Linked DNA regions of Tamandua tetradactyla. The protein of the gene in region 3 purifies or fractionates together with the protein of the main gene of each other region. This does not show direct contact. Links are inferred from orthologs where the notes say so. Each region holds a gene or a part of one and is shown on either strand. Other genes may lie near its edges.

Evidence for each region.
Region 1: the proteins of USP48 (region 3) and UBA6 fractionate together in Homo sapiens (co-fractionation; 3 studies listed by BioGRID, with this or other methods). This does not show direct contact. The link is inferred for Tamandua tetradactyla from reciprocal best matches to the Homo sapiens genes USP48 and UBA6.
Region 2: the proteins of USP48 (region 3) and H2AX purify together in Homo sapiens (affinity purification with mass spectrometry; 3 studies listed by BioGRID). This does not show direct contact. The link is inferred for Tamandua tetradactyla from reciprocal best matches to the Homo sapiens genes USP48 and H2AX.
Region 4: the proteins of USP48 (region 3) and RELA purify together in Homo sapiens (affinity purification with mass spectrometry; 3 studies listed by BioGRID, with this or other methods). This does not show direct contact. The link is inferred for Tamandua tetradactyla from reciprocal best matches to the Homo sapiens genes USP48 and RELA.

The regions. Positions count from the first base shown.
Region 1 is NC_135345.1:69,395,949-69,403,548, reverse strand, and holds the start of UBA6 (ubiquitin-like modifier-activating enzyme 6), read left to right. Parts: upstream 1-4,581; 5' UTR 4,582-4,620; coding exon 4,621-4,700; intron 4,701-7,600. UniProt on the Homo sapiens protein: Activates ubiquitin by first adenylating its C-terminal glycine residue with ATP, and thereafter linking this residue to the side chain of a cysteine residue in E1, yielding a ubiquitin-E1 thioester and free AMP.
Region 2 is NC_135334.1:21,661,249-21,668,226, forward strand, and holds H2AX (histone H2AX), read left to right. Parts: upstream 1-4,838; 5' UTR 4,839-4,934; coding exon 4,935-5,366; 3' UTR 5,367-5,875; intron 5,876-6,093; 3' UTR 6,094-6,472; downstream 6,473-6,978. Other genes in the region: DPAGT1 (UDP-N-acetylglucosamine--dolichyl-phosphate N-acetylglucosaminephosphotransferase), read left to right, coding at 76-196, 351-564, 837-983, 2,153-2,237, 2,562-2,750, 3,119-3,206, 3,372-3,527, 3,609-3,674. UniProt on the Homo sapiens protein: Variant histone H2A which replaces conventional H2A in a subset of nucleosomes. Nucleosomes wrap and compact DNA into chromatin, limiting DNA accessibility to the cellular machineries which require DNA as a template.
Region 3 is NC_135328.1:204,652,951-204,659,885, reverse strand, and holds the start of USP48 (ubiquitin carboxyl-terminal hydrolase 48), read right to left. Parts: upstream 3,003-6,935; 5' UTR 2,795-3,002; coding exon 2,661-2,794; intron 2,652-2,660; exon of another isoform or gene 2,464-2,651; intron 1-2,463.
Region 4 is NC_135335.1:8,859,137-8,866,342, forward strand, and holds the start of RELA (transcription factor p65), read left to right. Parts: upstream 1-4,202; 5' UTR 4,203-4,292; coding exon 4,293-4,299; intron 4,300-4,869; coding exon 4,870-4,896; intron 4,897-4,991; coding exon 4,992-5,146; intron 5,147-5,309; coding exon 5,310-5,458; intron 5,459-6,271; coding exon 6,272-6,363; intron 6,364-6,707; coding exon 6,708-6,839; intron 6,840-7,206. UniProt on the Homo sapiens protein: NF-kappa-B is a pleiotropic transcription factor present in almost all cell types and is the endpoint of a series of signal transduction events that are initiated by a vast array of stimuli related to many biological processes such as inflammation, immunity, differentiation, cell growth, tumorigenesis and apoptosis.

The DNA.
Region 1 (7,600 bases), on a different chromosome or scaffold from region 3:
GATCCACCAGAGGGGTTCAAAGAAGACTAGGGAAGCAGTTCTCTAGCCATTGCTTAAGCTCTCTTACAATGGGAGCAGAGACAGCTGGGATGGCTAGTGAGTTAAGCACCTACCAAAAGGTCCCTGACACTAACAGATGCAGTAAGTTGTTGAAGTTTCAGAGAAAAAAAGCAGGGAAAGTATAGAGCCCTTTAGGATGGCTTTTCCCAGTGGCCCTAAATAGAACTTGGAGAGTTTTTCTCTACTACGAGGGAGATAAATCTGATTAAAGTTCATAATAATAAAATGTTACCTTGAGGGGACAAAGTACACTGTCCCCCTTGGAGCCCTGAGAGGAGCCACCATCCAAGAAGCAATGTTGGCAGCTGCAGCAGGAGCAGACCTGTCCTCATATCATCCTACAGCAAAAGGACCTGTGCCATGTTCTCTTCAACTGTGGCTTCAGCAACAGTGACTACCACACCAGGAAGAGAAGGTGGCCTCTCACTTCTACGTGCATAGGTGCATGCCTGCCATCTCTAATATTTAAGAGAGAGAGAGAAAGAGTGGGGTAAGTGAGGTAAGGATGGAAACTATCACCCCCTCTCCAGGAAAGCCTGAGCTCTGCACCAACTGGAATGTACCACCCTGCACCTTAGAGAACAGGTGTTCTGCAGGCTTTCTACTCTCTTTGCTAAGCAAACAGACATCCCTGCTGGAGTCCGACACGGTGGTCCCTGTGACTTATTTGGGTGCCCCAACTTATAGTCTTGGGATTAGTAGGAGGACGCCACTGGTTTTTAACAGGATCTTTCCATTGAGGTCTCACTGAACCATAGGGAAGGAGGTTCTATGCCTAGGCTACAGTACGGTGGGAAGGTGGGAGAGCATTGCCATTCTGGAGCTTTTTACCAACCAGTCAGTGTACAGGTGACTGTGATCCCTGTGGCCCCTAGCACCGAGATGGGGGGAGAAAAAATAATGATGCCATATTTGGGCCTGATGCTACCCCCCAAAACCCTCGCAGAAAGTGACTTTGCGTATGTCTCTTTGGGTCCCTACAAGCCTCCGTTCTATGGCTCCATCACTGAATGTAATATTGAAATTGACATATTGTCTATATGTACACATCCCCCAGACCTTATGGAATTGCTGCTGTTAGGGGAATTTAAGTATTACATTTAAAAACCTGTGAACCTTCCTGTCTCCTGGGTTGTGGCTAATAGCCTGGTCAGGTCTGGTAAGTCTTGGACTGGCAAATGAAGCAGGCCCCCTGTGGGGACTAGATATTTGGAAGAAAATCAGTTCTGTTCCTACTAAATTTTGTGCTTCCCGGGTGGATCCTCACCAAAGCCCCCATACTGATGGGTAAAGAACCAACCAGTATAAACTCTGCTTGTCAGCCAAACGCAGAGACTGATGTGTCTTCTGCCCATAACAAGCATATATATGACCAATCACCTCCCGGACTCATGATAAGACTGCCCAAGGGAATTTAGGCACCACACAGGCCTGGACCTGCAAGCATATAATGTCGTTATCATCAGAAGACACCAGAACAGCTTGGAAGATCGTTTTCATTTTCCAGACCCTGGGTCTTGCTGGATTCTGACTGCAGTTGACAGTTTCTGTGGCTTTGGTCTAGTCATTGCTGTGACTTTCCCAAATTCCTATAAATTCATATGTTTTTTTGTTTGTTTGGTAAGGCACCCCATGATTTCTCCAGAATGTGGACTTCCAGTTCGCAAATAGCCAATAAACCTTTCTTGGAATATAGGTTTGTCCTTGATAGAATTAGCTTGTTTGGACTAGGAAATCTGCCTCATACTAAAGTTCAGAAACACTAACTTCACATAAAAATTAGCAACAGAAAGTATCAAGGTCAAATTCTATACAAAGGTATTATAAGAAAAAAAGAGAATAAGGAGAATTGTATCATTACAGTTAATGAAAGCATGCCTGAAACACATGCTGACAAAACAGATCAAATCCGTAACTTACTATTTCAAAATATCTAAAAGCCCTTAAGAAAATGATACAAGACAAGAAAAAACAATGTGATTCAGAATGAGAGAATCTCAGAAACTAGGTGACAGAACTCAGGAGACTGCTAATGACGAATAAACTAGAAGGAACACAAAACTAATAAACACAACTGATTACATTATTCTGTGAAGAACCCAAGTCAGTCTTTATATGTTGATATTTCTCTAGTAATTTTGTTTGTAATTCTTCAAGAGGGGTTCATAGCAACAATAGTCTTTGAGTTCTTGCATATTGACAATAGTTGGTCTGTATCCTTTGTACATGAGAGTCAGTTTTGCTAGATATAAAATCCTTGGTCAACACTTTTTTCCCCTTGAATATCCTAAATACGTTATTCCACTTTCTTCTGGTACAAAGCATCACTGTCAAAAAGTCTGGTCACTATCTATTTTTCTATTCTATTTTGCAAATATTAAACATTAAACACTAAAATCTGTTAAACCTGGGTGTCTTTTATATTGGAGATTTGAAATAATTTATACCATATTTCATCAAATCAAAGATGCCTTCAATTTTAAGATGCACTATTATTTTCTGTATTGATAAGAAAGAAAAAAGCATTCCAATTTCAAGGATGTTAAAATGTAAAGGTATGTGGGTCTTAAATAAAATACAGTAGATTAGTCTTTGATTGCTATGTAACAAATTAGCACAAACTTAGCAGCTTAAAACAAATTTATTAGCTCACAATTATGTAGATTAGAAGTTATGGCATATGATAGCTGGGTTCTCTGCCCATGATCTCACAAGGCTGCAATCAAGTTATCAGCTGTGTTCTGATATGAAACGCAGGGTCCTCTTTCAAGTTCATTCAGGATGTTGGCCAAGTTTGGTTTCTTGTAGTTGTAGGCAAAGGTCCCTATTTCCTTGTTAGCTGAAGGCCAATCTCAACTCTTAGAGGCTGTTCCATTCCTTGCTACACGGGTCCCTTCATCTTCAAATTCAGCAATGGAGAATCTCCTTCTCAAAGAATATCCCTCACTTTAAATATCTTTTTTCCAGGAAGAGCCCAGTCTCTGTCTCTTTCCAGAGAAGAAAGAAGGTAGCATTGCTTTCCCTCTGTCTAAAACGCTCATCTGCTAGATCTTCACAGGACTCACATCATTTAGGTTTCAGCTCTAATGTCATTTCCTCAAAGAGGCCATCTTTGACCATCTAAAATCTTACCCTTCTTCCTGCAAGTCTCTTTCTCTTTGCCCTCTTTTATTTTCTCCATCGTGCTTATGACTTAATAAAATTATTTTGCCCATTTATTTTTGTTTGTTTGTTTGCTACACTGAGATATTGAGAGTAAGGGAATCAGGATCACAGTATCTCTATCACTTGATTATTCTCTAACCATTAACTCCAATTACATAAATATTTAAGGAAAGAAAGAAATGAGGGAGATTAGAGAGAAGAAATTGGCAGAATCTATGGGGTGGACCAGATGAAGATATTTACATGTATTAACTTTAGCATAAGCAGATAAGACAGGGAGAAGATAAGCCTAGCGTTAGAGCAGAATGTTGCAAGAGTAGGAGATAGACCAATTTCACTTTAACGGTTACTTTGTTATGTAGAAAAGGTTCAAAACAGGGTTGTGGAACCTGAGTGATGCCACAAATAAGAAGCTTGTAGTTTTCAGGTATTTGGAAATACTTGAAAAGATAATAGAAGAACGCAAAGGATAATGCACAGTTTGGCCTGGATTCTAGTCTCCACACTAAAAAGGAAGAAATGCTAATTAAGAAAAAAAAACCACACATTCCATAGGATGATGTAAGACATAAAATGATGTTAAGACAAAGTATATACCAATTTTTAATCCTACAGATGTTTCTTCAAATACATAAAGTTGTTTATAATGAAAGAAAAATCCTAAGTTAGTGTCCAACTCATTCTTGTTCTAAGAAAAGTGAAAACAGGGGAGCCAGTGGAAAGAGAAGTAGATGATAGATCCTTAAATGACCTTAATCGGATAGTGATTAGCTCTACCTATAACCTGAACAAGTCACTTAAACTGACAGGAAACTCCTCTCTGTTACCCACAAAATTGGAAGAGGAAGCTAACTAGACCTAATGTCATTTACAGCTCTAAACTTCACACAAGTCTATGAAATTTGTGAGTTTCTACTAGATTCTAAGCTTTTTAACGGAAGGATTACAAATATTAAACATCTTATTCATCAACGTGAATGGAACCAAACACATGTAGATATCCAACTTTTGAAACTGGAAATCCGGAGATATTACTAGTCTTTGATTTTTCATGTATAAAATGGAGGGGTTTCCTCTTCTTGTTATAAAAGCCAAGGACTATGCTACATAAATCTATGATTTCACTGGTCTTTATAGCCCTGTGTGCTTGGCCATAAACTCATAAAGGTAACTCTGAACTGTGTTCCCGACCATTTACACATGGTCGCAGTCACCTGCAACAATTCCCGCGGCCGCACCCAAACCGGAAACTATGGCGCTCTTGGAATAGACCGGAAAGCGCAGCCGGCAAGGCGTTCCCCGGACCCGCCCCCTCCACTGACGTAGCCGCCTGCCCTTTGACCCCGCGATCCCGCCCCTTTCCCTGCCTTTCTGTAGCCGGCGGCGGCTGCGTGTATGACGGCGATGGAGGAGGTCAGCTCCGTAGCTGCCCGTGATGGGGAAGCGGCGTCCTGCTCTTCCTGGGGGTTCAGCAGGTGAGAGGACAGGTGTGGGGCCGAAGGCGCGAGTAGTCGCGGGGTGTTTCAGGGCCCCTGTTCTGCTTCTCCGGCTCGGTCGGAAGGGGAGAGACGCGAGGCCGCGGGGTGGACCGGAGCCGGCTCTGGGAGGCCAGGGGAAGGCGCGGGGTGGGTGTGGCGGCGTGGGCCCGGGTGTCTGCGGCTGCCGGCTTTCCTGAGGAGGAAGTCCTCTTCCCGCCCCCTTTCTGCGCTGTCTCAGTTCCGGTTGGGGTCCTCCTTGTCACCGGACGTGAGGGTTTGGACCGAGATTTCTGGCCCGGGTTGTTTGATGTGGTCTTCTAGCCTTGGTGTCGAGCACCTTGCCTCCTCCTTTCAGTGAAATGAAAGCTAAGAGCTCCACTGTGCGCGATCTTCCACTGAGACGCTCCTTTGAGAGCTGTTACTGAAGGGAACTTGGTAATGATGAATCATGCAGTGTGGACACCCTGAGGCCTCTGTTGCTCACAGTTAGAAATAAAATGTGGGGAAAAAATATCCGAGTTACCCGTTCTTATTTCCCAATTCATTTTGAGGTTCTCCTTTCCCGCCTCTACAGAATTGGAGGTGTGTCTGTGGCCCTTACCAATTTCTTGGTTAGTAGTTCCTGTTCCATACAGGACAACAGTATTTTCAGTCATCTCGTAATTAATAAAGCGGGTAGTTTTATCTTGCCCTCTATCAGAACACGATATGCCAAGAATAAAAGTAATGGATATGTTATTTTCATCTAAAGGGAGACTTTCCATAAACCAGTAGCTACGTGGCTCACTTCGGACGGAAGGGATGCTTTTAGGGCCGTCGTATTGCCTGCTGTTACCAACACTGCCGCATTTCCTTGGGGATTATTATGTAATACAAACAAAACCCCTATTCTGTTACTTGAAGCATATTTGATTGCCTTATAGATCTTATCGTAGAAATGGTTCTTGGGACACTTCACAGTGAGGTAGAACTTTCTGAAAAGAAAGTGTCAGTCGTACTATTAATTAGCAAAGATAGTTCGAATGTAGTAGACTACTGTCCCATATAAGGAAGTCAGCAAGTAAAAGTGTACTAGGAATAAGATAATAGGAAACCAATTAAAATTATTTTCTTATTTTGTTACAATGCCAAAATCAGGTTGTGTATGTGTGTGAATTACCTATCTAAGGAATAGGTGATCCCTTAGAACATAGACATCTTCTGGTTCACCTTCATAATAGCATTCAGGAATTTTTGTAATAGTTATCTATTTAGTTAGCTAGAAGCTGGTATCATTTATCGATACCAATAGAAGTTTGCTAAGATAAATGATGACATTTTAATCATATATATTCACATATTCTTTAATTTCCGAAAGCTAGGCCTAGAAAAATGTATTCTAAAACTGACTTTTGTGCCCATCACGTTGTTTTTAAGTGTCCCATAATTCATAATTAGTGCTTTCCAGAGCCTGGAAAGGATTACACATTTTCCGAGATGATACTGATATTGATCACAACTTTCAGAGTGTCTCAGGCCCAAATGCCACAAGCTGGTTCCCTGTTTCCCGTTTTCCTACTAATATCATTTTTCTTTGTATGCCATACTGTGAAAACAATGTGACGCACACTGTAAATGATATAAGGTAAATACACTTTTTTTAAGAAACTAGTACGTTGAACTCTTTTTTCGTTTCTAAAATGCATTCATTTAACATAGTGCACAAGTGCTACTTTTCTGTCTACTGTGAGGCAGTAGGAGGTATGATGTGGTGGTCAGCTAGACTGCCTGGGTTCAAATCCTGGGTCTGCCATTTACCTGCTCTTTGAACCCAGGCAAGTTAAATTAACCACTCTCAGCCTCAGTTGTTTTCTGTCTGTTGGCTGGAGATATTAATAGTACCATCTCATAAATTGTTGTGAGGGTTAAGTTAGTATAGCCAAAGCTCTTAAGACAATGTGTGGCACAGTATTAGCTATTATTATTATTAGCTAGGTACTATTTTAAATATTTGAAAAACATTAGTGAATTTTTCATGGGCTATACGTTTTAGTGGTGGGGAGTCAGACAATAAACAAATAGGCAAATATTAAATGAATTAATAGTTCACTTAATGATAAATGATTTGAGGAAAATACAGCAGGTTAGTGAAATAGAGAATGACCTAAGAAAGGGACATTTTATTTAAGAGGGTTATTCAGCAGTGTGCTCTGTGATGAGGCAATATTTTAAAGGAAGGTTTTTTTTTTTAGGCAACATTTTAATAGAGGATTGAATGATAAGGAGTCAACTATACAAAGGGCTGAAGGAAGAATATTCCAGGCAGTAGGAATAGCAAGTGTAAGCACTCTGAAGTGAAAGCAAGTATGGCTTTTTTAAGGAACAGCAGGTAGGCCAGTGTGGCTGAAGATAGTGAGCAAGTGGGAGAGTGATGGGAGTTGAGATTGGAAAAGTGGGAGACAGAATATGTAGGCCCATTGAGGCATGGTAAAGTGTTTGAATTTTATTCTAAAAGTAAAGGAAATCCACTGAAGAGGTCTTAGGATGGAAGTGATATCTGACTATATTTTTAAAGATTCAGGCCATTGTTATATGGAGAATAAACTGAAGGGAAAGGGAATAGTAGAAATAGACTTGTTAGGAGCACTTTCAGGTAAAATGTGGTTGATGGTTTAGTCTAAAATTGTCCTGGTTGAAATAGTGAGAAATAATCAGATCCAAGATATCTCTTGAGATTTTCTTTGATAGTGGATGTCTCTAGAGGTTGTTTTTTTGTTTTGTTTGTTTGTTTGTTTTTGCATGGGAAGGCACCGGGAATCAAACCCGGGTCTCTGGCATGGCAGGTGAGAACTCTGCCTGCTGAGTCACTGTGGTCTGCCTGAGATGTGTTTTAATAGCAGAACCAGTAGCACTCATAG
Region 2 (6,978 bases), on a different chromosome or scaffold from region 3:
ACACTGGTGAGTAACCGCGCCCCCTTTCCTCCCCTGTTCCCTCCTCTCCCAATCCCTTTTGCTCCTGGGTCGCAGCCCAGAGTCCCAGGGAGTGATCAGCGGTGCTGTTTTCCTTATCATCCTCTTCTGCTTCATCCCTTTTCCCTTCCTGAACTGCTTCGTGGAGGAGCAGTGTAAGGCCTTCCCCCACCATGAAGTAAGTGGGGGATTGGGGGTGGTTGCCTATGGATGGGAGCTGGGAGTAACTTGAGAAAGTTGGGGTTATTTGGACTTGGGGAAAACAGGAATTCTTGGGAGAAGAGGTGGAGTGGGAGGAGGGTTGAGTGATGACCTGCTTGAGCCTCCCCCAGTTTGTGGCCCTGATAGGTGCCCTCCTTGCCATCTGCTGCATGATTTTCCTGGGCTTTGCGGATGATGTACTGAATTTGCGCTGGCGCCATAAGCTGCTGCTGCCCACAGCTGCCTCATTACCACTACTCATGGTCTATTTCACCAACTTTGGCAACACAACCATTGTGGTACCCAAACCCTTCCGTCCAATTCTTGGCCTGCATCTGGACTTAGGTGAGTAGCCCTGCCACTTAGTGCCCCTCTGGCCCTTACTTCAGGTCAGCAGATATCCAGCAGAATACCCTTCCTGATATATCAGATATCTATCAGAACACCCTTCCTGATGCCCTGCATTCTTCTCCAGTGTTCCTGTTCCACTCCTGTGTCTTCTTCTGCCTTCTGTCCCTCATCTTGTCCACTCTCCTTACCATGCCCCTCAGAAGAATATTCTTCAATCCACTTTCCATAGGTGGCACTAGTTCTTTTCATACTGTCTTTTCTACCAGGCATTCTGTACTATGTCTACATGGGGCTGCTGGCAGTGTTCTGTACCAATGCCATCAATATTCTGGCAGGAATCAATGGGCTAGAGGCTGGCCAGTCACTAGTCATTTCTGCTTCCATCATTGTCTTCAACCTGGTAGAGCTGGGAGGTAGGTGGCTTGGCAGAAGAATGAGAAAGAAGTCTGAGTGTTTGGTGAGTTGCCTGATATATGACTTTGGGTAACTCAGAAGCAATATGTGATTAATTATAGAAGAAAAAAGAAGCTATTTGCTTTGCAAATAATAACTAATATTGATTGTAAGAGAAATAGCAGCCCTGTCATCTGTCACTGCATTGATACTAATAGTTAGGCCGTGGTATTCTTCTGTTGAACATAAACAATTTCATAGAACCCCCAAATCAGACAAGCTCACATTGTGATTGTACTGATGCAAGACAAAGACCAGACCCCTCTATAATCATATCTGAGAACAGGCAGAACCACAGGAACACTGTGCAAACCACAAAAATGACCAAACATCCTCCTCTCCTGGCTAACGTGAGTGACTGCAGCTTCTTTCCAATAATAGTGCAGTTCCTCCTACTTCTTAGATAAAAACTATTAAGATGCTCACCCATAGAATTATTCCTGCTTTCTGATAGCTCTCAGTTCAGAGAAAAACTCTGCTTCTTTGCATCCTTCCCCAAATTACCCAAAACAAATCCTTTAACAAGCTCTCCTGACACCCTCTTACTGAGGTGCTGTGTCATTCCCTTTACAGCATGGATTTCCACAGTCTTCCTGCTGCAACAAGTTAACAACCCAACTTTGACTATAGATGTGCTTCTGGTGGTCTTTGGGCATTGGGTATCAACAAGCGCTTATTAAAGTTAACCACTTTTCATTTTGTGTTTTCTTTATTATCATTTTTTAAAAAAATTTTATTTAAAGCACTTTTCAAACATCTCATTTAAACCTCATAAAAACTCTATGGAGCAGGTGTTATCACCTCCATTTTAGAGATGAGGAAACAGGCTTAGAGAAGTTGAATGTATCATGATCAAGGCCACACAGCAAGGAAAGAAGGCTCATATTCAAACCCAGGTCTGAAAGTCCTAAACCAAATTTAAAACAGTAATTAGTTTAGGAAGGCTCTGTGAAAGGGGTGGTATATCCAGAATTGCTAGGGTGACATGAGAGGGTTAGTGAGTACTTGAATGTGATTTGGGAGAGGTTGATGCTGCTTGGAACAGAACTTAGAGATAGGTTGGACAGACAGAAATAGAACCAAGTAGCTATTAACTTTCCCCCTCTTCCTTTTTTCTTTGCTCCCAAAGGTGACTGTCGGGATGATCATGTCTTTTCCCTCTACTTCATGATACCTTTTTTTTTCACCACCCTGGGACTGCTCTACCATAACTGGTAAGTAGGCTAAGGGAGAGAACTGTGTGAATGTGTGGTCCTGATCATGGCCCACCTCTTGATGGAGAGGCTAAACCCGTGTTGAGTATCTTCTGGGTCCTCAATTGTTAGAATTCGGAAACTGCTCTCTGCCCTGCAATATTTGGGGCAAGAACCCTCAGGTATTGATGAATTCAGGTCTCTGTGTGCTACAAAGTTGCTGGAAGAACTGGAGTCTCCTGAGTCAAAACTAGGGTCAGGATTACCTACTGGCCAGTGTGAGAGGTGAGAGAAAGGGTTGGTAATGCTTCTTGCCATTGGCTTAGATACCCCCACCCCCCACAGGTACCCATCACAGGTGTTTGTGGGAGATACCTTCTGTTACTTTGCTGGCATGACCTTTGCCGTGGTGGGCATCTTGGGACACTTCAGCAAGACCATGCTACTGTTCTTCATGCCCCAGGTGTTCAACTTCCTCTACTCACTGCCTCAGCTCCTGCACATCATCCCCTGCCCTCGCCACCGTATACCCAGGTAGCCGCCTTGGGTACCAGGGTAGAAAAGGGTAGCCATTGAAGGGACATCAAAATCTTTTCACTTGGGATGTCTAAAGCCAGCCTATACATTTGCTTGCAAAGAGAGTGAGTGTGCCCAAAGAAGGGCTAACTCTTTCCATGTGGGTAGCCCTTTTGTAATCTACAAAGCAATTTACTTACATAAACTCATTTAAAATTCAGAGTAGCTCTGATCACACAGTAGTAAGCAGCAGAGCCAGAAATAGATCTCATATTGTTTAATTCCACAGTCACTTCTCTTCCTATTGATTAACCACTGGGAGGAGAGTTCTTTAAGTAATGTCACAGTCACATAAAGCTCTCTTCTCACCCCACCCCACCCCACAGACTCAATACCAAAACAGGCAAACTGGAGATGAGCTATTCCAAGTTCAAGACCAAGAGCCTCTCTTTCTTGGGCACCTTTATTCTAAAGGTAACAGAGTGACAAGGAGGTAAGGCCTTAGGCAGCCATCCTGAACTCGGGGCATGGGAACCCTGGGGCTGCCTTAGATCAAAGGGAATGTGGAAGCAGTAGGTAGATCCACATTCCTGAAGCATAGGTTTTAGCTGCAGTTCTCTCCACCTCTGGCCCCTCCAGGTAGCAGAGAGCCTCCGGCTATTGACAGTGCGGCAGAATGAGAATGAGGATGGTGCCTTCACCGAGTGCAACAACATGACCCTCATCAATTTGCTGCTCAAAATCTTTGGACCCATGTATGAGCGAAACCTCACATTGCTCTTGCTGCTGCTGCAGGTGAGGTTGAGGATGGGGTCTCCACCTCCTTCTTGTCTCACTTTCTCTGTGGTTCTCACTTGAATCCTTTTCTTCTTACAGATCCTGGGCAGTGTTGTCACCTTCTCCATTCGGTACCAGCTTGTCCGACTCTTCTATGATGTCTGAGTCCCCTGATCATTGCTCTCTACCTCGAAATCTCCAGGGTTCCCGACTCAGGCTGAGCTTTTTCTGAACCAAGACTGTCTCCCAGTGCAGGCCTCTCCCACACTTCATTCTTCCAGAATTTGTTCTCAGCTTTTCCCGTCCCTGATGATGCCCTCTTAACGACTATTGGTTGGGCTTTGCCTATGGCTTTCTTCAACTTGCCATTCTCTTCCTCTTCATCCTGTTTCTGCCCTGAGGTAGGATATGGCAGCTTTTATGCAGTTATCCACAACTCAACTCTCAGAGTCCTGACAGCCAAGGAAAATGCCAGGCCTTGGGATAGAACCTGGGCTGGGGACAGAGACACAGACCTGAAGGTGACTTGACATTTGACTACAAATTAAGTGTTCTGATTAGTAAGAGCAGACCAGGAGCCAGGTGCTCCCAATGTTGACAATAAAGTGATGTCTTTTTATTGTTCCTGAAGGTATTTTTCCTGTATGGGCATTTTAGGGTAGGATGGAAGGGTTAGTGAGGGCATCCCCAAAAGGATACCTATTTCTCTGCTCCATCCTTTTCATTACACCGGACCCCTTCTACCAAGAAGTGAACAGAAAGAATTGAGAACAGATAGCCCATGTTGAATAAATATTGAAATAATGATATTTTGGGTGGCGTTGAGGACCAGAAGATTGGAGTTATCTAATTTCAGGCATAGGTTCATACTTTTAGGTGACTCATTTCTTCCCTTTTTCATTCGCCCTTTGCCCGATAGGAGGACAGAATGAGAAGTAACCAGACCTGGAAGGGTAAGCAGCGGTGGTCTTAGTGTTCACTCCATTTCTTTAAAAATCCTAGGCCAGCCCGGATTTCCCAGAGGCTTTTTAGGCGGTTTTAAACTCCACCCACTTTGTCTTCCGGTCTGGTCTCCCACTGTAGCGTTTAAATCGCGCGCGCTTCACATGGATTGGCTACATCTGGGGAGGTTGGGCGTCTGCGGTGCGCCTCTCCTCCTCGCCTTTTCCCCCGGGCTAAGGGTTTTCAAATTCGACCAATCGGCAGGCGCTCTTCCTCCTTCGAGAAGCGTCATCAAAGGGTTAACAGTAGCCAATCGGAGGCAGGTATTAGAGAAGAGAGCCAATCAGGAAGGTGCGGGGGTGTGTCCTAGGGGCTATAAAAGTGGCCCCACGGCGCGTGCGACGGCAGTTGGACTGCGGCTGGCTGCTGTGATTTTCAGTGTTGAGAAGCTTTTTCGTCTTTGCTTATCCTACCTCGCGCGGCATGTCGGGGCGCGGCAAGACCGGCGGTAAGGCCCGCGCTAAGGCCAAGTCGCGTTCATCGCGCGCGGGCCTCCAGTTTCCTGTGGGCCGCGTTCATCGGCTGCTGCGGAAGGGTCACTACGCGGAGCGTGTGGGCGCCGGCGCTCCGGTGTACCTGGCCGCGGTGCTCGAGTACCTGACCGCTGAGATCCTAGAGCTGGCGGGCAACGCGGCCCGCGACAACAAGAAGACGCGGATCATCCCTCGCCACCTGCAACTCGCCATCCGCAACGACGAGGAGCTCAACAAGCTGCTGGGTGGCGTGACGATCGCCCAGGGAGGCGTCCTGCCCAACATTCAGGCCGTCCTGCTGCCCAAGAAGACAAGCGCCACCGTTGGGCCTAAGGCGCCTGCGGGCGGCAAGAAGGCCACGCAGGCCTCTCAGGAGTACTGAGGGAGGCCCCGCCGGAGTCGGGCCGCCCCCGGCCCTCCCCATGCCACCACAAAGGCCCTTTTAAGGGCCACCACAGCCCTCACGGAAAGAGCTGAGCGGCGGCCCCCGAGCCGTAACCTTCATCCCCGGCCCTTCACCCCCACACCCCCCGGCCTCTCCTCGCCGCGCGTTTGCTTCCGGCCTCTGCAGCCGCGGGCCTTGCAGGCCTGCGTTTCTATTTCACCTACGGGGAGGTTGGAAAGACAGGCTGTCCTCTGTGGTAGAAGCACCTGGCCTGCCGGCGCAGCTCTGCTCCCACACCGCTTTCGGTCTCTCCAGTGGCCTTGGCGTGGGGGCGCGGCCCCTGCTCCAGAGCTAGTTACCCATCCGCTCCTATCAATTGAGCCGCGGGGTGGCGGTGAGACGGGATCCCCTCCGAGGAGACCGGCCTCCCGCCCTGCAATTGCTGCTGCCAGGCGGCTGAGGGTGCAGCCCATGCCCAGGGGTCGGACGGCCCTGCGGCCCTCAAGGTGAGTTGGTGCAGAGAGCGGCCGGCAGAGGCCCTCACCGCCGCGGCAGAGTGGTCGTCTGTTACCTTTCCAGCTTGGTGCTTAGCCCAGGACTTTTCAGACGTGACTGTTGATTTCCAGGCTTTGACGGGAGAGGGACTGGTCACTTAATTTGCTTGGGTGCCCTTTTGCTGCCAAGTCACGGGCTTTCCCATCTATTCCTCCATCTTTATTCATAGGCTTGTCTGCTACCGCCTGGGCTGTGATACGAATGTTTCGCCAGAGATGACTGCCTCTCGGAAAGAAGCTTGGGGGAGGGGCAGAGGCCTCCAGCTGGGAGTCACAGCTGACTGTGTGGACAGTTCTGTGTAGGTGCCTGAAACCGACTGGTGGCCAGGCCTGTGGGGTCTACCCTCTCCACCTTTATTTCCCTTCCAGCAACTCAATTCAGCAATGCAAGCACCTCCTAGATAACCAGCACAAGTCAGTTCATCCCTGTCTGGACTGAGCCTCTGTTGGCTTCTGAACTGGAATTTTGCAGATAACCCATCCAAGACTAGTACCTTAGTTATTGGGAAATTTCAGATGGACTAATTTTATTAAATGTTTCTTTTTTAATGAGGAGTCTCTTCATTTTGCAAGAGTTGTAGGATTGATTTTAGAGTGTGTATAGTGGGGGATTACCTAAATAAGGGAGTTCATTAACTAGAGAAGGAGCAAGCCACAGTATTTTTGGATTACAGTTCTGTGTTTCTTGGGAGAGAATTCCTTCTGTTTGAAATGAGAGCTACTGAAGTCGAAAGGTTGTTCCAGGATTACTTTGGGTAGTGGCCTGGCCTCTGAAATAAGGAGTAAAGGGTTTTGTGTTTGCTATTTACTTATTTTAACTACCCCACTGGGAAAGAGCAGAAAGAAAACAATCTTCAGAACTGCTTTATTAGTAGAATTAGTTACATTCAAAGGCTATGACCTTTCTCTAAAGAGATGCAGCCCCCACCTACTGAGGAGGCCAGGCAAAGTCACCAAGGCGAGGCAGGCCCCTGGAAGTCCATGATCCTGGGGTATAATCACCTCAGTCAGCATCAAGAGTGGGGCACTGTGGCAACCCAGGTACCTGTGCCCCA
Region 3 (6,935 bases):
GTAGACAACCAAAGCTATAGGCTGAGCCCCCAATCTTGAGGTTTGTTCATACAAAACTTAACCCCACAAAGGATAGGTCAAGCCTACTTAAAGTTAGGCCTACGAGTCACCCCCAAGAGAACCTCTTTTGTTGCTCAGATGTGGCCTCTCTCTCTTCAGCCAACACAACAAGCAAACTCACTGCCCTTCCCCCCTCTACGTGGGACATGATTCCCAGGGGTGTGGACCTTCCTGGCAACGTGGGACAGAAATCCTAGAATGAGCTGGGACTCAGCACCAAGGGAATGAGAAAACCTTCTCGACTGAAGTAGGGAAGAGTGAAATGAGACAAAATAAAGTGTCAATGGCTGAGAGATTCCAAACAGTCGAGAGGTTATCCTGGAGGTTATTCTTAAGCATTAAATAGATATCACCTTGTTAGTCAAGATGTAATGGAGAGGCTGGAGGGAACTGTCTGAAAATGTAGAGCTGTGTTCCAGTAGCCATGTTTCTTGAAGATGATTGTATAATGATATAGCTTTTGCAATGTGACTGTGTGATTGTGAAAACCTTGTGTGTGATGCTTCTTTTATCTACCTTATGGACAGATGAGTAAAACATATGAATTAAAAATAAATAAATAATGGGGGAAACAAATGTTAAAATAAATTTGGTAGATTGAAAAAATAGGCAAAAGATTTGAATAGACATTTCTAAAAAGAAGACAAACAAATAGACAATAAATACATGAAAAGATGTTCAACATTATTAGCAGGCAGGGAAATGCAAATCAAAATCACAATGAGATGCCACTTCACAAACACTAAGATGGCTAAATCAAAGACAATAACAAGTGTGAAGATGTGGAGAAAAGGAACTTTCGTGCATTGCTTATGGGTATGTAAAATGCATACAGTGCAGCAGTTTTGGACTTTGGAAAACGGTCTGACAGTTCTCTAAAATGTTAAACAGAGTTATCACTGCAATTCTACTCCATAATAGAAATGAAAACATGTATCTACACAAAAATTCGTGCATGAATTTTCATAGCAGCATTATTCATAATAGCCAAACTGTGGAAACAACCCTAATGTCCATCAACCAAAGAATGGACATATAAAATGTGGTATATCCAAGCAACTGATTATTTTTTGGTCACAAAAAGAATAAAGTACTTATAAATGGTACAACATGAACCTTGAAAACATTATACTCAGTGAAAGAAGACATTCACATTAGTCCCCATATGATTCCACTTATATGAAAAACAGGAAAGTTTAGAGACAAAAAGTAGATTAGGTTGCTTAAGGCTGGGGGCACGGGATGCAGGGCAGGAGACTGCTAATCTAATGGATACAGAGTTTCTTCTAGGCAGAATGAAAATGTTAGAAAATTAGATTGCTGAAATGGCTTGCACAATCCCTCCGATATACCAAAAAACATTGTCTACTTAAATGAGTGAATCGCATAGTATATGAATTACATGTTAATAAAGCTGTTTTTTTTTTAAACTGCTTGGATATGAATCTTGCAACTGCAGCTTAAAACTCATTTTCTCTATGACACTCCTCTCAGTCAATTCCTACTTCACCTTCACTTCCTTTAACATAAGAATTATGAACGGTGAACAATTAAAAATTTTCAGCTACCTCGAAACTAAACTGCGCGGATACTGACTGAGGCTTGGTACATTCTACTATACAAGGCCTTCTGTCATTCCAGTACTTAACGTGGGAGTCAGATTTGCCCTTCTTGTGAATCAGATGCCCAGAGCTTGGAATTATTTGCTTGATTTATGGAAGTTCCCTAACTTGTTCAGTTCCCAAACGAGACTTTAAGCTCAAAAGTTAGAGACTATGCCTACCATTCTATCTGGATACACTATCACTGCCGCCGCCGCCGCCGCCCCTGCCCCGCGGGAAGTAAAAACTCCAGAAAGCATTTACCAAATGCCTGCTGAAAGAAGGCTACTGAGCATGCCCAATTTGGCAAAACCAATTCAACAACATTCCGGAACAAAAACTATAGTTCCCGCGTTAAAAGGTGGGAAAGGAATAAATAGGACCAAGGCGTGTAAGGTTAGGGTCAAAGTCTAAGCAGACTTGAAGGCTGACACTTAAAGCTGAGCTCAAAGTTGATACTCAGAGTGGCGTAGAATCACAATGACAAAAAAGAAAAAACCTAAAAAAATACAAAACTAATGCGTGAGGGTAGGTCAACTAGGGATGGAGAGTACTGATGACGTAGGCTAACCATACCTTTCTAAAATTGCCCTCTCCAAAAAGGCCTTCGCGTCAACACTAATGCAAGATAAACTGAGATGAAGCTCACCTCCAGGAAGTTCCCTTTTTACAAAAGAAAAAGCCAAGATATAACAACCATCAACGTTTGCTAAGCTCTCAGCTCCTGCTTTTCAACCATCTCCACCGCCATCTTCTAGGTGAGAACCCAGAACCCTTTCTAAAAGGCTTTCAGCAGCATTACCTCTGCGCAGACAGCACGGGAAAGCTACGCTTCCTAGATCGCCCAGACGGCGGAAAAGAGGAAACCTCCACCTCGCTCCTCTCCGCGCCGTTCCGATGCAAGCAGCGGGCCTCGGTGTCCTTCCTCCCACCCTGCTCCGGCCCGGCTTTCGAGGACCCAGAGTGAAGGGGCCGAAAGGGCCGGTGCACAAGCCTCACCTGCACACGCCACGGATGCAGGGCTCCAGCCAGATGCGGTAGGCGGTCTCGATGTGCTCCTGCGACACCTCCTCGGGCCGCACAGTCTCTGCCCAGCGCCAGGCCGCCTTTTCCAGCTGCAGCCGCGGAGCCATGGCCTTGGTCCGCGGAGCACCTCCCAAGCACGGCCGCCGCCGCCTCCACCGCCCAAATAGGCTCCGCCACCTGCAAGCGATGAGGACCAGGAGCTCCCTCAGCCAGCCGTCCAGCCGGCCAGTCAATCACCTGTGCGCGCCACTGCCGCCGCGCCCGCCCGCGCCCTACCGCACGACAGGCCGCAAAGTGCCACTGTCGAAACTCGACACCTCCCGCGCCCGCGGACGTTAGAGGGGTATGCTTCGTCGTGGTGGGCGCATGCGCGTTCCCAGCAGCCTTCGCGCCTCCTGCGCCTCTGGGGGAAAGGGTAGCGGCAGTCGAAAGCAGGTTTGCCACGTCCTCACCGGCGCTGCTGGACAAGCGGCGTTTCAGCTTTTGTGCCAGGTAGCGTCCCGCGTGGCGCTACTCTCTCTAGCGTGCGCCTTGAGGGCAAAAGACTGCCTATTCCTGCTTTCCGATACTTCGCCTGTAAATGTGAAGTATTCACGCGAGAGGCTACACAACTCACACCATGGGTCCGCCTGGACTGTGGGGTGGGGCCTGTTTAGAGTAGAAACCGTATCACCGAAGAAACTAGGGTGGGCTTTCTAGAGAAAGATTTAACTTAAGCCTGGACCGATTCAGACTCCTTTCCCGAGTCCTCCTGATGTCGCGGGACGTTCTGGTTTTTTCTTAAGGTAGAACGGACTACATGTCCCGGCATACACTGCGTCTTTGCACCTTGATGAATGCCGAGCATGCTGGGATTTGTAGTCTCACAGGTGCGCGGACAGCGGCCGGATTTCACCGGTGTGTAGGGTCGGTCTTGCAGTTAGCTGACCCTCCTCGCGAGGGTTATCTGTATATAGCGATTTGCTGGTTCTTTCCTGAGGCTCTAACCGGGCTAAACAACATTGCTTTTCTGTAACTCCTGCCCCTGCATATAAATAATAGCCATATCAGGATGTTTTGCAAATTGTAGAATGAGGTTTTTCCGGGCTTTCCATTTCAATAAGATCCCTCCCGGGAGGGGTGGGATAGGGTATATATTATCACGAATTTCTGACTCAGCTATTTAACTTCTGGTAATAGATACGGAGGGAGGGAACAAATTTGTAAGATATTTAGGACATAGAATTGCTAGAATTTGATGATTTGGGTCTAACCAATGTCTACCTTTCGGTATTTGATCTTCTATTCTGGGGCTTAGCACTTTGCTGAGTGTTTACAGCTCCCTATGTCATCCATTGCTGCACTTCACACGAGATGAAATTGTGAATATTATTTCTGTGGTATCACTACTGCTATGCCAGCTTTCTAACTTGGATGATTAAATGGATAGAATTGCTACCATGCAAGATAGAGACTACAAAAGGGAAAAGCAGTTTAGAAGGGAGATGAATATATATATATATGAAAATTAAAAAATATATATATATATTTTAATATATTGCATTTCAGGTGTATCAAGACTATCCCTGTCACGACAACAGACAAGATTCAGTCTTGGGGGAGATATTGCTCCTGCATCATTTTTTCAGTTTCTATTGCATCATGCTTATCAGCATAAAAATAAGATGTAATTTCTCCCCAGTTTGGAAAACCCCTCTTAGCATCAACATCCCCCTCCGGCCATCATCCCATTTTTCTCATTTCTTTTATAACAAAATTTCTGGAGAGAGTTGTGTATAATCTTCTCTAACTCTCCTCATCCTATTCACTTGTAAACCCATTCCAAATCAAGCTCTAACCCCCATCACCTCCCAAAACTGCTCATGTAAGGATCACCATTGGCCCCTACATTGTTAAATCTGGTGGTGAGCTCACAGTCTTACTTGGCCTGTCAACATCATTTGACCCAGTTATTCATTCCTTCATCTTGGAAACACTTTCTTCTCTTCATTTGCAGGACACCGCACTCCTGGTTTTCCCATTACTCAGTGGTCATTCCTTTTTGGTTTCCTTTACAGGTTCTTTCTTATCTCTCTAGTTTGTAAACTTAAGTGGTCTAAGAGTCAACCCTTGGACCTCCTCTCTATCTACATTTACTCCCTAGGTGATCTCATCTCCTTCTACAGCTTTTAATACGTATATGTGTTGATGACTCTCAAATTCATATCTCTGAATCTGCCTTCTCTCCCGAACTTACATACCCTACTGCTTACTTGACATCTCCAATGTGCAATAAGTATCTCACACTTAAGTCCAAAACATAGGCTTTTTCCGTGTCCAGCTTTCCTCCCCCAAATATTTTTCTGTAATATTTCCCATTTCAGTAGGTGGCAACTTTATCCTTCCAGAAAGCTTAGAGATAGTCTTAGCTCCTCACCTTCTCTTACACCCTTCATCAAATTCTATCAGCTGTGCCTTTGCAATATGGACAGAATGCGCCTTGTATCATCATCCTCTCCATCCTGGTCTCTCACCTGAATTATGACAAAAGCCTTCTAACTGGTCTCCCTGCTCTCATCTTTGCCTCTTTATTGTCTGTTCTCAGCATGTGTCATTTTTCTCCCCAAAAGCCTTGATGTCCTGTCTCAATCACAATAAATGATAAAAGGCCCTTATCTCCAGATCCTCGTTTCCTGATACTCTCCCCTCCCCTCAACTTTACTCCAACAATATGGTCTTTCTGTCCATTTTCATCTAAGCAGCCTCCTGCCTCAGTGCCTTTGCAATTACTGTTTCCTTTGCCTGGAACAATGTTCCCCTACAAATCCAGAAAGAATCCAGGAGAATCCAAATCGACTACGTCAAAAGCTGAGAGAGGAAAGTTTCAAGAAATTGGAAATAGTCAGCAGTTGTAAATCCCTGTCACTCTTCCTCCCATTGGCTCCCTTTACAATAAAACTATTGAACAATTATTTACCTCAGCACTGTCCAGTGAGAATGTAATGTGAGCCCCATGTGTAATGCTAAATCTTCTAGTAGCCACATTTTAAAAAAAGGTAAAAAGAAAGAGGTGAAATTAATTTTAATAATGTTTGATTTTCCTAATACATACAAAATATTTACTTTTCCGTGTGTAATCAGTTAATAATGTATTCCACCTTCTTTTTTTCACACTTAGTTTTGGAAACCTGGTGTGTATTTTACACTTACAGCTCATCTTAATTCAAGCTAGCCACATTTTAAGTGTTCAGTAGCCACATGTGCCAGCGGCTGCCATAAGGGACAGCACAAATCTACATTTTCCTTACTTCCTCATCTCATATTCACTAAACAACTCCAGTGTGGCCTATGATCCTATCACTCCTCTACAGCCCATTTTATCTAGATTACCATGACTTCCATTTTAGCAAATCCAAGGGTCACTTTTGCCTTAGCTTCTGCCTCGTTTCGGCAATCACCAGCACAGATGACCACTCCCACAGTCTTGAAATGTCCCTTTCTTGGCTTGTGGACAGTACCCTCTCCTTGTTCTCTGCTTCCCCCAGTGGCTAGTCCTTCTCACTCTTCTTTGCTGCTTCCTCCTCTTCTGGATTCTAAATGCTGGAGTTTTTCTAGTCTTTATCCTATGCCCTCTATTTTGTCAGTCAACAAAAAAGAAATAAGTATGAACATAAATCAGAAGTCACTCCCTTTTGTCATCACTTTGCACTTTGAATAAAATCTAAACTCCTTTTTATGACCTTACAGGGCTTTGGTAGGCAGAATAATGCCCCTCACCTCACCCCCAAGATATACATGTCCTAATTTCTAGAACCTGTGATTATGTTACCTTGTGTAAGATAAAGTAACACTTAATTGTAGGTGTGATTAGGTTAAGGATCTTCAGATGAGAGGTTATTTTGGATTATCTGGGCAGACCAATGTAATCACAAGTGTCTTTAGAAGTGAAAGAGGGAGATAGCATAGAGGTTAAGTCAGATTTGAAGATGCTGTGCTACCAGCTTTGAAGATGGAGGAAAAGGTCATAAGGCAAAGAATGCAGGCAACCTCTAAAAGCTGGAAAGGCAAAGGAACAGATTCTCCCATTGAGCCTCCAAAAGGAATGCAGTCCTACTGACACCTTAATGTTAGCCAGTGAAACCAATTTCAGACTTCGGACCCCCAGAACTGTAGAATAAATAGTTTTAAACCACTAAGTTTGTGGTAATTTGCTACAGCAGCAATAGAAAACTAATACAAGGGCCTTTCATGATCTGGCCTTTCCTAAAT
Region 4 (7,206 bases), on a different chromosome or scaffold from region 3:
TTGTTAAAGAGTGCTTTGAAAACTATTGCTTTTTTATTTCTTTGCTTTGTATGTATGTTATACTATACAATAAAAAAGTTAAAAAAAAAAAAAAAGAAAGAAAGAAAGAAAAAGAAAACCAGTGTAGCTGCTGCAGACCTCGAGAGCATAGATACACTCCCCTGTGACTTATACCTAACCCCCTGCTCATCACCTGTACCTGCCTTCTTTATGCCCGTGCAGAATTCTGTATTTATTATTCTCTTGATTATGTTTTTAAAGAAAAAATATCCATTTATATATGCATGTCTATATTACATTGTTTGGGCTTGCTAACTTTTATTTTTATGAAGAGGGCACCATATTATATGTTTCCCTTTGTTTATGTACTTTTTTCATTCAGTCTTATGGGACTAAGATTTATGCGTTTCATAGTTCATTCCCTTTTCATGACTGTATACTATTCTGTTACGGAGCTATACCACAGCTTGTGAATCTATTCACCCTGAGGATAGGCGCTCAGGTTTGCGGTGCTTTGCTATTATAAACAGTGTTGCTAAGAACATTCCTGGGATTGTCTCCTGTTGTCTATATATCCAAGAGTTTCTCTTGGGTGTATACCTAAAAGGGACTTCCTGGGTCCTGGAATATGCAAATAGCCAATGATACAAGCTAATGCTACAATGCGGATACCAAGTTACACTTCCAGTAGCAATGTGGTACCAGACCTCCTCCACTTGACATTGTCTCCAAGATTTATTGTCAGACTTCATTTTAATCAAATGGTTGTAAAATGGAATCTGGGTGCAATCTTAATTTGCATTTCCATATTACTAGTGAGTTTGACAAACTTCCCATATGTTTATTAGCCCTTTGTGTTTCCTCTTCTGTAAAATGTCTGTTTATGCCTTTGCCTCATTTTACCATTAGGCTGTCTTTTTATTTCGATTTGTAGGCATTCTTTACACCAAGCCTTCGACAGGTGCTTGTGCTGCAAATATTATCTCCCAGCTCATAGCTTGACTTTTCACTCTCCTTAAGGTGTCATTAAAAAAAAAAAGACAACTTTTTAGTATAAAATGTAAATACACACGAGAGTTTGAGAATAGCATAACAAGTTTCCATGGATTCATCATCCAATTACAATAGTTTAGAATTCATGGCTGCTCCTGTTACCTTTTTGCTGACAGCCCCACCCCCACTCCCAGGAAATCTCCATTTCAGGGATTATTTTTGAACTATATCCCAGGACTCTTGGGAAAAAAGACTACTATGTTATTATCACACCTAAAATAATATTAATAACAATCATTTATTATCATCAAATGCCGGGCCAGCGTTCAAATTTAGCCTGTTGCCTCATGAGACTTTATTTAATAGTTTGTTTATTAAAAGCATCCAAACAAGCCTTTCTCAGTGCCTGCCCAATACACCATAAACTAAAAAGGGATAGCTATATAATGTGTAAGAATAACCTCCAGGATAACCTCTCGACTCAGTTTGAAATCTCTCAGCTACTGAAACTTTATCTCATTTCTCTCTTCCCCCTTTTGGTCAAGGAGGCTTACTCAATCCATTGCTGTCGGGCCCTGGCTTATTCTGAGATTTCTGTCCCATATTGCCAGGGAGATTTACACTCCTGGGAGTCATGTCCCATGTAGAGGGGAGGGTAGTGAGTTCACCTGCTGAGTTGGCTTAGAGAAAGCGGCCACATTTGAGCAACTAAAGAGGTTCTCTGGGGATGATTCTTAGGCCTAATTTTAAGCAGGTTTAGCCTACCCTTTGCAGGAATAGTTTTCATAGGGATGCACCCCAAGATCGAGGGCTCTCCTATTGATTTGGTTGCCCCTCATTTGATTATTATTTGCATGGAATAATTATTATTTGCATACTTTCACTTTCAACCTACTCATGCCTTTGAATTTAAGGTGATCTGTTGTAAAAAGCATATAGTTACGTCACACTTTTTAAACTTTTTTTTATTGTGTACTATAACATATATACCAAGTAAAGAAATAAAAAGCAGTAGTTTTCAAAGCACTCTTCAACAAGGGATTACAGGAGAGACCCCAGAGTTTTTCATGGGCTACCGTACCATCCTCTCAGATTTTTTCCTTCTAGCTGCTCCAGAATATAGGCGGCTAGAGAGCTTAAATACTTTTTTATCATCACAATCGACTTTTTTTCCTTCTTTTTTTTGGGAAAAATAACATATATACGAAAAAGCTATCAATTTCAAAGCACAGCACCACAATTAGTTATAGAACATATTTCAGACTTTGACACGGGTTATAATTTCACAATTTTAGGTTTTCAATTCTAGCTGCTCTAAAATACTGGAGATTCCCGGTGCCTGCCCATGCAAAAATAAAATACTGGAGACTAAAATAGATATCAGTTTAATGATTCATCACTCATATTCATTTGTTAAATCCTATCTTCTATGTATAATTCCACCATCACCTTTGATCTTTCCATACCTCTCTTTAGGGGTGTTTGGGCTAGGGCAATTCTAAATTTTTGCTATTGGAAGGGTCTGTCACTAATGTGGGGTAGGGAGATGGAACTATCTGACGTTCTGGAGAGGCTGGGCTAGGTTTCAGGACTTAATTGGACCAGGGACCCACCTGGAGGTTCTAGATTTCTGGAAAGTTCCTCTAGTGCATGGAACCATTGTGGAATCTTATAAATTGCCCTGGGTGTTCTTTAGGATTGGCTGAAATGGTCCTGGCTGGGGGTTGGCAGGTCTACCTGAAGCTTGTGTAAGAACCACTTCCAGAGTAGCCTCTTGACTCTATTTGAACTGGGCCCTCTAGCTAGGTTTCAGGATTTATCTGGTCCAGGGACCCATTTGAAGGTTGTAGGTTTCTGGAAAGTTATTCTAATGCATGGAATCCTTTATGATGGTTTTCACTGTACTATTTTTAAAAGTATAAATATATAAAAATCAAATAAAAGATCATGCCTAAATCAATGATGATTGCATGTCATTAAGTAAAGATTATAATTCATCCATTCTTCAACCTGAAATCTGCCTCCGCAAAAAAAAAAAAAAATCAAAACAAAAAAAAACAGACTTTTCTAATCAGGGACGCAAGAGAAACCGAAATGAGTGGGAGGGGTGGCAACTTCATTTTCACTTTTCTCTTCCTGTTTTTTCAGAGCCTGGGAAAGCAAGTCAGAATTTCCAGTCTTTTTCAATTCCCAAATGATTCCCGAATTTAGAACCCATTTAAAGAAAATAAGTTTTTCTCCATCTGGAGAAGGCTCCACCGCCTGCTTTGGAACGTCCTCAATCTGGGACGGGGGGGCGAGGGAGGACCTGGGGGGTGGGGAGGGCGCCCCAACCCCAGCCCCTTCCCCTCCCTGCAAGGATGCGCTTTGGGCCTGGACTTGGAGGGGGGCGATGGCATGACAATGGCATGGCTTGACTGATGGCTGAGCTGCCCCCAAGCTGGGAGCTCTGGGAAGGCAGGCGGGCCCCTACGGGTGCGAGGGGACCCCCGGGGACTTAGGCAGCCTGCTCCGGGCGTCTCCCGCCCACTCATCGTCCCCGAGGCACTTGAGCCGGAGAAGCGACTAGCCCTGGCCTAACTCGACCGCGGCCGCCCGCGGGAGGCGACGCGACCCTCGGCGCCTCAGTTGCCCCCTGGGCGCCCCGGGGTCCCGGCCCGTGGGGTGGGGGAGCCCGGCCACTCTCCTTTCCCTCCACTGCCTCTGCTTGGGGTGGACAGGAACTTAGCAGGTGCCTCTGCAGGTACAACCCCCGAGAGGCACCTTGGGTGCTCAGGGGCCGCGCGGGTCAAGTCCAGCGCGCGCCTCGGGGGCCGAGCAGGCCCGGGCCTTTCCCGGCGCGGGACGGGCGGCCGCAGCCCTGCAGCCCTGGCCGCGCTCCAGGCCGGGCGCGGTGACATCACCGCCCTCCCCCGAGCGGCGGGAGGGGGGCCCCGAAATCCCCTAAAAAACAGCGTGAGTAATCGCCCGGCCGCCCTCCAGGCGGGGCCGGGACTCGGGAGCGAGCGGAGCGGCCGCGCCCTCCCCGGGAAGCCTCTCGGACCCGGGTCTCGGCGCGGCGCGGCGGCGGCGGCGGCGGCGGCGGCGCGCGGCCTCCTCGCCCCCCGGTAGGCGCGCACCCGGCTCCCGGGCCCCCGCGCGGGGCGGCGGTGACGTAGCGCGCAGGCGCGGCCGGATTCCGGGCAGTGACGCGGCGGCGGGCGCGCGCGGCGCATTTCCGCCTCTGGCGAATGGCTCGGCTGTAGCGCGCGCGCCGCGGGCCCAGCTGCGACCCCGGCCCCGCCCCCGGGACCCCGGCCATGGACGGTGAGGGCGCCCTCTGACCCCGCGGGGGCCCCGCGGTGGGAGTCTCCGTGCCCCCCTGGCCCCCATTCCTGCGCGGGCGGGTGCCACGCAGGGAGCGGCCCGGCCGGATGGTGACGCGGGGCGGGCCGGGCGTGAAGGGGCCTGACTCAGTTTCCCCTCTGGGTGGAAGGGGGGGGCTGGACTCAGTTTCCGTCTTGGGTGGGGGTGGGGGTGGGTGTGCGGGGCCCTGACACAGGTTCCCCCCAGGGTCCATGGGGGCAGCGCTGACTTAGTTTACCTGTTAGAGGAGAATGTAGCTGACTCAGGTTTCCTTTCAGGAAGAGGGGTGGGGGAGTGCATCCTCTTAATTTTGGTTATGAAAGTAGAGAAGGCCTTGACTTAGTTTCCCTTAGTCAAAGGAGGACACCGTACCTAGTTTTCCCTCAGGAAACAAATGTCTCTGGACCTCTTCACCCCACCCCATAGTCTCCCTACAGAGTCTAGAAAGCAGGCCCTGACTCAGTTTCACTCCAGGGGAACCTGGTGAGGATGGGAAGTGGCTTGCTGACCCTTGTCTCCCTCCCCTTTCAGACTTGTTCCCCCTCATCTTCCCCTCAGGTAAGTATACTGTCCTTTCTCAATGGTTCCAGGTGGGGGTTGGCAGGGGGGGAGAGGGTGAGGGGCAGTGGGGACAGTGGCCTGCATCTCCCCAGCAGAGCCAGTCCAGGCCTCTGGTCCCTATGTGGAGATCATTGAGCAGCCCAAGCAGCGGGGCATGCGCTTCCGCTACAAGTGCGAGGGCCGCTCAGCGGGCAGTATCCCAGGCGAGCGGAGCACGGACACCACAAAGACCCACCCCACCATCAAGGTCAGCAGCCAGCCACTGGTTCCCAGAAGTGGAGTGGGGAACACAGATTGGGCGCTAGGGAGAGGCTGCGGAAGTGGTCTCCCTTCAGGCCTCTGTGCCCTCTGTGTCTGGGAGGTGGGATTGGAATTCTTGGGCCTCTAGGTGCTCTCTGTACTTTGGACAGATCAATGGCTACACAGGGCCAGGGACAGTTCGCATCTCCCTGGTTACCAAGGATCCCCCTCACCGGCCTCACCCCCACGAGCTTGTGGGGAAGGACTGCCGAGATGGCTTCTATGAGGCTGAGCTCTGCCCGGACCGCTGCATCCACAGGTGAACTCCCCGCAGGACCTGGGAGTAGGAGGCGATGACGGGAAGATGGGAGGGTCTCGTGTAGCTGTGACAGTCTCACTCCTTTCTATACACAGGGCAGAATTCCTTATTCCTTTCTCTGTCCCCAGGTCTGCAAAGCAGACTTGCTTTGTCTTGAAAATATTTTTGTGGGTTCATTCCTCCAGCAGATGTGGGCTCCTTGGGGCAGGAATGGGGCCCTAATCATCTCTGTGGCTGAAAGAGCAGGTCCCTTGGTGTTACACTGCTTGTGCTGAGAAAGAAAAACCACAAACCAGCCATCTCCCCTGGAGCTCACATACCAGGAGACAGAGACAGGCTGTAAATAAATATACAAATAAATAAGCAAGATAGTGTTAGAGTGATCATTTCAATGATGAAAATAAAACGAAGTAATTGGCTGTGAAGAATAACCTGGGGCAGGGGTTATTTCTTTGGATTGGAAGTCAGGCAAGGCCTCTCTGGGCTAAGACTTTGATGATGAGAAAAAAACTGAAGCAGGGAGAGAACATTCCAAGCAGAAAGAACGAGTGCAAAGGCTTTGAAGTGGGAATGAGTTGAGTGTGTTTGTAGAGACAGAAAAGGGACCCCTGAGGCTGGAGGAGCTAGGCAGGGGCCAGGTACCACGGGGCTTGTCAAGCCTGAGGTCAGGAGTGTGGTTTTTACTGCAGCACGATGGGAAGCCGTTGGACCACAGAGAGATGGTCTGGTTGGGAGTGGGGGGCACACTGAATAAGGCAGGAGGGTCTAGACTCTGCTGGAGACAGTAGGACTGATACCGGGGCGGGGACTCAGCTTTCAGAACCTTGGGATCCAATGCGTGAAGAAACGAGACCTGGAGCAAGCTATCAGCCAGCGCATCCAGACCAACAATAACCCCTTCCAAGGTAAGGGGTAAGGGTGCGAAGGCCAAGGGCTTGTTTGGAGCACCCCTACCCTCCATTACCTTCCTGAGGCCACCTTCCCTGCCTTTCTCCCTCATTGGCCAAGACTCACAGGATGCACGGGATGTCGCTGCCCGTTCAGTGCACACTCCCATTTTACCACTGGGAGCACTGAGGGGCATGGCATCAGGGTGACAGGTAGAGCCAGTGATGGGTCTAGAACCTTCTCTTCCTACTCCTCTGAGTTCCTCCTCCTATTTCCCATGCCCCTGATCAGCCCTCCCCGCCGAGAGCTCCCTGTCCCCAGCCCTGTCCCCCGGCTCTCCTGACCACCTGCTTTTCTGCAGTCCCCATAGAAGAGCAGCGAGGGGACTACGACCTGAATGCTGTGCGGCTCTGCTTCCAGGTGACAGTGCGGGACCCGGCAGGCAGGCCACTCCGCCTGCCGCCCGTCCTCTCCCATCCCATCTTTGACAACCGTGAGTCACCAGGGAGCTGTGGGCAAGGGAGAGATGGGTCTGGGGAGGAGGAAGAAGGTTGGGGTGGGTACAGCCTGGGATGGAGCTCGGGCTTCTGTCTGTCAACGGGTGCATTTGTCATCTCTGTGCCCCACTGGGGGCTGGCTAGGAGACACGGCAGAGGAGACCTGGAGCTGCCCTCAGGGTGCAGCTTCCAGGCCTGGCAGGGAGTCAGATGCATTTTCAGTATCCTGTGATGAGGGGCTGGAGGGGACAGGCTCTGCTCCCACTGGTAAGGGGATATATGTGTGTGGACGGGGTTGGTATTCCATCTATGAAAACAGGCTAGGCATTTCGGGGTAAAAATCTTCCTGCCAACATGGGGCAT